2 linked regions of the Arabidopsis thaliana genome follow. The protein of the gene in region 2 purifies or fractionates together with the protein of the main gene of each other region. This does not show direct contact. Each region holds a gene or a part of one and is shown on either strand. Other genes may lie near its edges. The genes, in order: AT5G15400 and AT1G33320.

What was found.
Region 1: the proteins of AT1G33320 (region 2) and AT5G15400 fractionate together in Arabidopsis thaliana (co-fractionation; one large-scale study listed by BioGRID). This does not show direct contact.

The regions. Positions count from the first base shown.
Region 1 is NC_003076.8:5,001,402-5,005,329, forward strand, and holds the start of AT5G15400 (U-box domain-containing protein), read right to left. Parts: upstream 1,853-3,928; 5' UTR 1,507-1,852; coding exon 647-1,506; intron 176-646; coding exon 1-175. Other genes in the region: DND1 (Cyclic nucleotide-regulated ion channel family protein), read right to left, coding at 2,059-2,568, 2,685-2,771, 2,858-3,094, 3,187-3,298, 3,396-3,715, 3,902-3,928. UniProt on the Arabidopsis thaliana protein: Ubiquitin-protein ligase that may function as an E3 ligase in conjunction with specific E1 and E2 ligases. May also function as an E4 ligase mediating the assembly of polyubiquitin chain assembly on substrates monoubiquitinated by another E3 ubiquitin ligase.
Region 2 is NC_003070.9:12,079,390-12,083,317, reverse strand, and holds the start of AT1G33320 (Pyridoxal phosphate (PLP)-dependent transferases superfamily protein), read right to left. Parts: upstream 2,310-3,928; coding exon 2,109-2,309; intron 2,054-2,108; exon of another isoform or gene 2,003-2,053; coding exon 1,929-2,002; intron 1,851-1,928; coding exon 1,682-1,850; intron 1,575-1,681; coding exon 1,515-1,574; intron 1,431-1,514; coding exon 1,227-1,430; intron 1,141-1,226; coding exon 1,054-1,140; intron 880-1,053; coding exon 772-879; intron 359-771; coding exon 263-358; intron 178-262; coding exon 62-177; intron 1-61. UniProt on the Arabidopsis thaliana protein: Catalyzes the first committed step of methionine (Met) biosynthesis. Catalyzes the formation of L-cystathionine from homoserine esters and L-cysteine, via a gamma-replacement reaction.

The sequences.
Region 1 (3,928 bases), on a different chromosome or scaffold from region 2:
GATCACCTCTGCAAGAAACTGTAGAACACGCTCACGGGTATCAGTACTTTTAAGTAAAATCATCAATACATCATGCAGCCCGCTGTACAAAATGTTCATGAAATTTTTAATCGTGGAGAAGGATGATAATAAATCTGCGGGACGACGTTCCGATGCTTCAGAGAAACACTGCTGCCTGATATTCACAAAAACAATAGACATATATCAGCATTTTCATAACAGGTAAAGTATATCCTCTGAGGTGGATCAGGAAAACTCTTATGTTCGCACAATTAAGCCTTGTCAAATACTAAATGGACAATCAAGATTCTTCAGTACAGACCAGAAAAAATGCTCAAAATAATGGATTTCATCCACAATATTCTAACTTAACATAGTGCTTACTAATATTTCTGTTGGTTTCGCCTCTACTGATCATCTAACTATGCTAAATTTATATAATCATGCTTAAAATATGTATACAACCTAACAGTGGCATCATATATAAGCCAAATATATCTGCTTTTTTCCTTTTTTGATCAAGTCTCTCTACTATGAGTAAAAGCTAATCAATAATTCTTACTATCCAAACTTTCTCAATAAGAAAAGAGCCCCAAAGACTACATGATTCTCAGTAATAGAAACCCATAAATAAGTTGGAACTCACCCAACATCAGGTTGACTCTTGAATAGTGTATTATCTGGCAGCGCACTAATATGGAAGAAAGGCCCAAGAATGCTAGTCAACTCCATTGCTCGGCCGTTCATATAGGCACCCCGTGGAACCCACCACTCATGACTAACCAGAGATTTAGCTCCTACTGGTAAGCTAACAAGATACTTGAGTGCCCTCAGTGGTGGCTGGAAATCTCCAAGCACTGATACATTTATAACCGTAGACCTCAAATCCTCATACAGCTCCTTTAGAATCGAGTCCAAGCTATCAAAATCCGAGTCTTTGAAAAACTCATCCAAAAACCCAGGAGGAGCTTGAACCCCACTGCTACTAGCTCCAAACATATCCAACGAACCAGAACCAACCTCAGCAAAGATCAACGGAAGAACCGGAGAGACATTCCTCTTCTTCAACCTATTATCCAATCCACCACTAGGTTTATCCGAGTTCCCAAACATGTCAGGATTCCCCAAGTGAATCCTACAGTAAGAAACAGCAAGCTTCTTCGCTTGTTTAGTGACAATCTCCATCTCCGATCTCAGATTCTTATCCTTCATCGACTGGATTTTCTTCGATTCGTCGTAAGCACGACGGTGGCAACCGATTAAATACGGGAAAGGCGGTTCGGCGTCGGAAAAGTCGCCGGAGAGACGATCTATGAGAACTCTCTCCATCAAATCACGAGAAAGCAAAAGCTCTTTACCTTCGCTGAGAATCTCAGCGGCCGTCATCTCCAAGTAAACAATACGAGGATCGGAATCAGTTGATTCCGTTAGGGTTACATAAAATATCTTCCGGAGGATTATATCCTCAATTTCAGCCGGCGATCTTTGAGGTTTGCTCGTCGCCATTGATTTTACGAATCAAATCAAACACTCGAAACTCGATTTGAGAGATAAATATAAGAATTTTTTTTCTTAAACTTGTATTACCGATGAATCAAAAGCGAAAGAGTTTGGACTTAGCAATTTAAAGTATAATTAAATTTAGAAAAACTAAAATTCACGAAAGAAGAGAGAAACCATGGCGAGAGATTTGGAAGAACTTTCTGGGAGTAGGTTTTTGTTTATGAACTCTTTTGGAGTCTCTGAACGAGCTTTAGCAAGTCCTGAGCTTGGACAAAAAGTCTATATAGGATATATGCAAACGTCGTACTTACTAACGACGTCGTTTATACTTATTAAGACAATTACTTTTACTGCTAATAAAAAATAAAAAATAAAAAATTACCAAGATAAACTCCTCCAAGATTTTGTTGCTCAAAAAATCTACTTTGAACTTAACCGTAAGAGGTTGAAGTATCATTCCAAGAAAGATTTTTTAAAGAAGTAAAGGTAAACAATTGAGGAGGAACAATGAACACACAATTATTTGGACCGATATAAAATTGGAACTTTTTATTATTATTCGAGATGATCATGCGGTCGAATGGACATGAACATAGCTGCATACTGAAGTAACCGGCGTTCACTGTTACCTTCAATGCTATTCTCCGACACAGGACTCATCGAACCGCCGATGTTTTCACCACGGGTTCTTTTCCTACGCCGGCGCCACGCCATCTGAATATTTACCGCTGCCCACGTCCTCCAGTTTGAGGAATAGTATCTTGCGGTCCGCTTAAGCCGCTCGTTCGCGAATTTATAACGGAAATGATCGGTAATGTACCTAAGATCTTCGGATCCGAGGGAGAATGCCTCGATGTTTTCTAGGCAGACAAATGTTGCTGAGGAAGGGGGAAGACGGTCCAGAAACGGGCGACGTAGGCACCATGAGAGTAGCTCGTCGCCCAAGTAACCGCCTGGTTCTAGTGTACTAGTGGCTAGGACGCCTTTGCTTAGGCTCTGTATACGTTTGACTCGTCCACGCATGATGAATATCATTCTCTGTACAGGATCTCCTTCACGGATGATCTGTGACAATCAACAAAATCGAAGAACCTCAGATTTTACTCTTCAAGTAAACTCTTAAACCGAAACCGAAGCAAAATATTGGAAATATAAATTTTTAGAAATGATGGGATGAGTACCTTTTCGTCTTTAGAGAAGACTCGAGGCTTAGCCCGATCGCAAATGTTGTCGAGGATCAAGTCGTCCATGCCCCTGAACAATGGCACCTGAGAAAGATCAAACATGTCAGAGACTTAACACTTACTGCTTTCACAAGTCTTAACAAGATTGTATAAAGTCTGCTTCCTAGTACCTTGTTAATGAGATCAAAGCAAAGATATCGTTTGATATCTCTTCGAAGACCCGGAGGCAAATCATGTATAAGTTCTAGCTCGTCTTCACCACCCAAGGCATTCCATCTCTGCCGCTCAAATCGCCTAACCCTCTGTCTTAACCGGGAAGGTAACTGCCTACGTTTCATCCACCATTCCATATCCCTACACCGTATCTGCATTTTCCTTTTTTTCGCCATTACCGCATGCAAAAACACCTTCAAAATATTGTAAAGTAAAAAGCTTTTTAAAATCTTACATTCCATGAAAACACAATATCATAGAAAAGACATATTCTTGCATAGTTTACCTGAATGTTTCCTATCAACAGCGTGAAAAGTAACAAGCCACTTAGAACCATAACTATACTGAAAATAACCTCGAGCCAGTTGCTTGTGGGCTCAAGATCATTCGCAAATGTGCTGTAAAACGCGACCCCCAAAACAGATTCAGTATGTCAATCAGAGAATTTTTTTATATCCAAGATGTAAACCTTAAGCTCAGAAACAAAGCAATTACCTGAGAGTCATTAGGCCCCAGAAGATGGGGTAAAGGATCTTAACCGCAAGAGAGTTGCTGGAGATGACTGGAAGTGCCCAACGGTAGATACCATATCGGAATGGTCCGTTAGAGTCTAAGCACATAGGCTTATTGACCACACTGGTAAGGTTTCCAGATAAGCATGGATATCCAACTGTGCTTGTCGGTGACACAAATTGGTAACAGACCTCTTCTTTGCAAGCCAGACTCAGATTGCAGTTCCCGGTTCTCATACATTGTTGTCTTATGCAAGAAGCAACACGCTGTATTGCGAGAACATACCAACATCCCCCAGCAACCTGAAACCACCAGAATTTCCATAAACAACAAACTTTAATTTCATATCTTAGGACAGACCTTAGTAGTACTATATATATACACATGGGATTTGTTATATTGCATTTGTTTTAGGACCTGAATATAACCTATTGTTGCAGGACATTATATTCAGGCAGAAATACAATATCTAGCTTGAGAGGACTTACATGAGAAGCGATGAAATATGCGATGAG
Region 2 (3,928 bases):
TTTTTATTATGTAACCAAAATAAACAAAATTATCAATGTTTTAGTGGAAAATCATATATACCAGATCCCTGTGGCGAGTTGGTCCACGAGGCTCTCGCATCCACCAAACGATGCTGCAAGGTAAGGGATCTTCAGAGCATCGATGAACTTGATTGTAGTCTTGAGATCTCCATCAATCTATTTTCGTGAAAGAACAAAGACATCTTTAGATTATTATTAGTAATATAGTTTCTTGGATCGATGGAGTTTTATTATTTCTTACCTCGAAAGAGATCAGGCCACCAATACCAGTCATTTGTCGCTTGGCTATTAAATGTTCGGGATGACTCGGAAGGCCTAGATAGTAAACGCGACTCACCTAACACGATTATATTGAACCCTTTTCTAATAAGATATGATGATCTATTTCAAACTGAAAGGAAAATTATGAAGCAACGTTATGATGTTTTTATATATGTTTGATCCTTAATTGTCTACGTGCATGTATAAATAGGGGATTCTTGATCATTTGTAAGATATATCCCAAATTAATTCAATAATATCTTCTTCTAGTTTCTCTTTAAGGTCGTTTTCATTTTATTACTTGCTTGGCAAGAAACCTCGTAAGCTTCTTCTTCTTTTATGTATCTTGCCCACAAGTAAATGATTATGAGTGATTAACGAAAAACTCAATCATAAATCTGTCTTATCTCTTTTATCAATTTTACGTACCAATAGATAACTAATGTGTAAACAAAAAGAAAGAAAGGATCTTGATGAAAAATATAGTACCTTGGGATGTGCTTCTAACACTTGGGCCATCTTCATACCGGTTGAATTCTGTTGTCTTACACGAAGATGCATCGTCTTCATGCCTCGTATGAGTAAATATGCAGCGTTCTGCTTTTTACAAAGAACCAATTATCCAAAGGTTGAATAATAGGACCGATCCTAGCTAAATCTAAAAAGAAGAATGTGAACCAAAATTGTCTAATAAAAAACCAAACCGACAAAAACTGAAATTTCAACACATTTACAAAGTCATATCATTCGAGGAGGATCAATCATTCTAACCGGATTAAGCGTGCCTCCCAAAAGCTTATGCAAATTGCGAATCTTGGAAACCAACTCCATTGAACCGGATATGCTTCCAGCTAGAAACTGAGAAGACACATGGAACAAATAAATCATTCTTCGATAACCATTTTTCCAAGGAATAATAAGGTTACACATTCTGATTTACGCACATCGTTGTGGCCTCCAATGTACTTAGTAGCAGAATGGTGAACAAGATCAGCACCAAGAGCAAGTGTCTTTTGATTGATAGGTGTTGCAATGGTAGCGTCTATACAAACAAGAGTTCCTCTTCTATGACAGATTTTTGAAACTAACTTAATATCTACACATCGAAGAAATGGATTTGTTGGGGACTCGGTAAAGAACAAAGAAACCTGAAAAACAAAAGATCACAAGTTCATATATTGCTTACCAGCTTTAAAGTTACTAAGTGAACTTATAATTATCACTTAAAATACCTCATGGTTATTAACAAGAGTTTGGAGCCCCGCAATATCATCAGAGTCAATAAAAGTTACCTGGAGACATTAACACACACACACACACACACATATATATAACAAAGTGTTAATCGATGGAGCTGGAAAGGAAACAAAATGAAAGTTATGAATTGAGATTTTCTTACAGTGATTCCCAGTTTAGTAAGAAAATTCTCCATGAAAATCCTTGTCTCCTTGTAACAATCTTTAGTTGCCACAATATGTCCATTTGTAGGAACCAAAGCCAAAAGCATAACATTACTTGCATACATCCCCGATGCCATTACCAAAGTTGATTCAGCCCCTTCAAGTACACTGAGCATAAAATGGAACAACTTACAAAACTCATGATATAGAGAGACAGTAAACAAAGACATCAAGAGAAAGATATACCTAATCTTTTCTTCGAGTGCCATAGTTGTTGGGTTTCCATAACGAGCATACTCATACAAGTCAATCCGTTTTTCCTACAAAATTGAAAGTAGACTTATATTTGTAAACCCTATAGTTGATTAACTCAGTCAAAGGAACACACCATTTACAATTTTTAACTAGAAGCATATATAAACGGACCTTGAAGTCGATTAGCTCGGTAGTATCTTTGAAGAAGTAGGTCGTTGTGTTGACTACAAGGGTCGTGATCGAACTCGTCTTCATATCACGACGTAATCTTTCACCTAATTGAAAACCATTAAACCCACAACAAATCCTATTTACCTCTGATTCTCTGGTTACGAAACGTTGGTTACTTGCATTTTCTTTTAATATTTGCATGTTTCTTACTTTATTTTGTTTCACAATCACAAAAACAAAGTGTCGTAGTTTATTTGAATATTTTATAAATATATCTTAATTTTATCCATATTATTTAGTTTATTAATTAAAGTGGGAAATTTATTTAGTGTATCAATAAAGGAAAGAACAAAAAAATGTCTTTGTTTTTCAATATGACTGAAAGTGATGAGCGAGGCGCATCCGCTGGCATTCCTGGTACGTTTGTGCCATGGCTTCCTCTCAAAGGACTGGTTAGTCCGGGTTTCTCATGTGTATAAGGTGGCTAATAGAAGTAGAGGTGGGATAGTGGAAGAATTTTGAAAATTATCAAGGAACCTCTTTGGCTGAGGAGAGAAAGAAAGAGGAATAGATAAAGCGTCTGAGAGATGTGTGATGTGTGTCAGTTTTTTTTTTAAATTTTTATTTTCTTTCTTTATTATATTTCATTCCCTCAAAGTTTAGTAATTAAAATGCTTAGTTTTAAATTTTATTTTTCTAAAATTGATCATATAAATAAAAATCTATGTCTTTTTCTCTATCATTTAATATGCATTTTGTTTAATGATTTTTAAATTTTATACTATTGAATACTATACAAATAATATTTACATAGATATACACCACTGTACAGATATACACTACTGTACAGATATCAATTACTCTACAGATATAAACCACAATACAAAATGATGCATTTGTACAGAAAGATATTTGTTCGGAAACTAATACGTTTTTGAAATTTTCTTAGATATATACTACTGTATATATATAGACAAATGTACATACGTAGACTATTGTACAGATATACACCACTGTACAGATATAGAGCATTGTACAGAATGATGCATGTGTTTAACGAAATCATAATTTACTATTATACGAACTAATATTTTTTCTTTATAAATGCATCATTCTGTACAGTGGTCTATATCTGTACAGTAGTTTATATCGTTACAGTGGTCTATATTTGTATAGTTATTATATGTACAGTGTTCTGTAATATAAAAATTAAAAATCAATAAACAAAATGCATATCAAATGATAGATAAAAAAACATAGATTTTTATTTATATGATCAATTTTAGAAAAATAAAATTTACAAATGAACATTTTAATTATTAATCTTTGAAAGAATGAAATGTAGTAAAGAAAGAAAAAGAAAATTAAATAAAAAATCTCACCCACATTTCTCTCTTACCCTCTCTTCTACATGTCATAATAGTGGCATGTTGGTAAATAAAGTTGTTACCATGGGGTATAATTGATTTTCTGATTTGTGGGGTCATAAGGAAGTGGCTAAATCTCCAATTATAAATAGTAACCTGCCCTATTTCATAATTAAGTTTTGGAAAGTGAGTAGTTTGCAACTTAACCCAAAAAAAATATGACTGAAAGTGATAGAAGAACACTCTTTCCAAAAGAGTACAGGTGTGATGGTGGAATAAAATAAAATAAAAAATATTGAGAAATGTATTTTCTTAAGTAAATATATAATTTAGTAACTTGCAAAAAGCATTTTTCCTATTAGTATCTAAATTTTTGGCAACTAACTAGTAGCATTTAGCCATTTACGTATTACTTGACTAGTAAAAATGGATTCTAGCCAACAACAAAAGTTC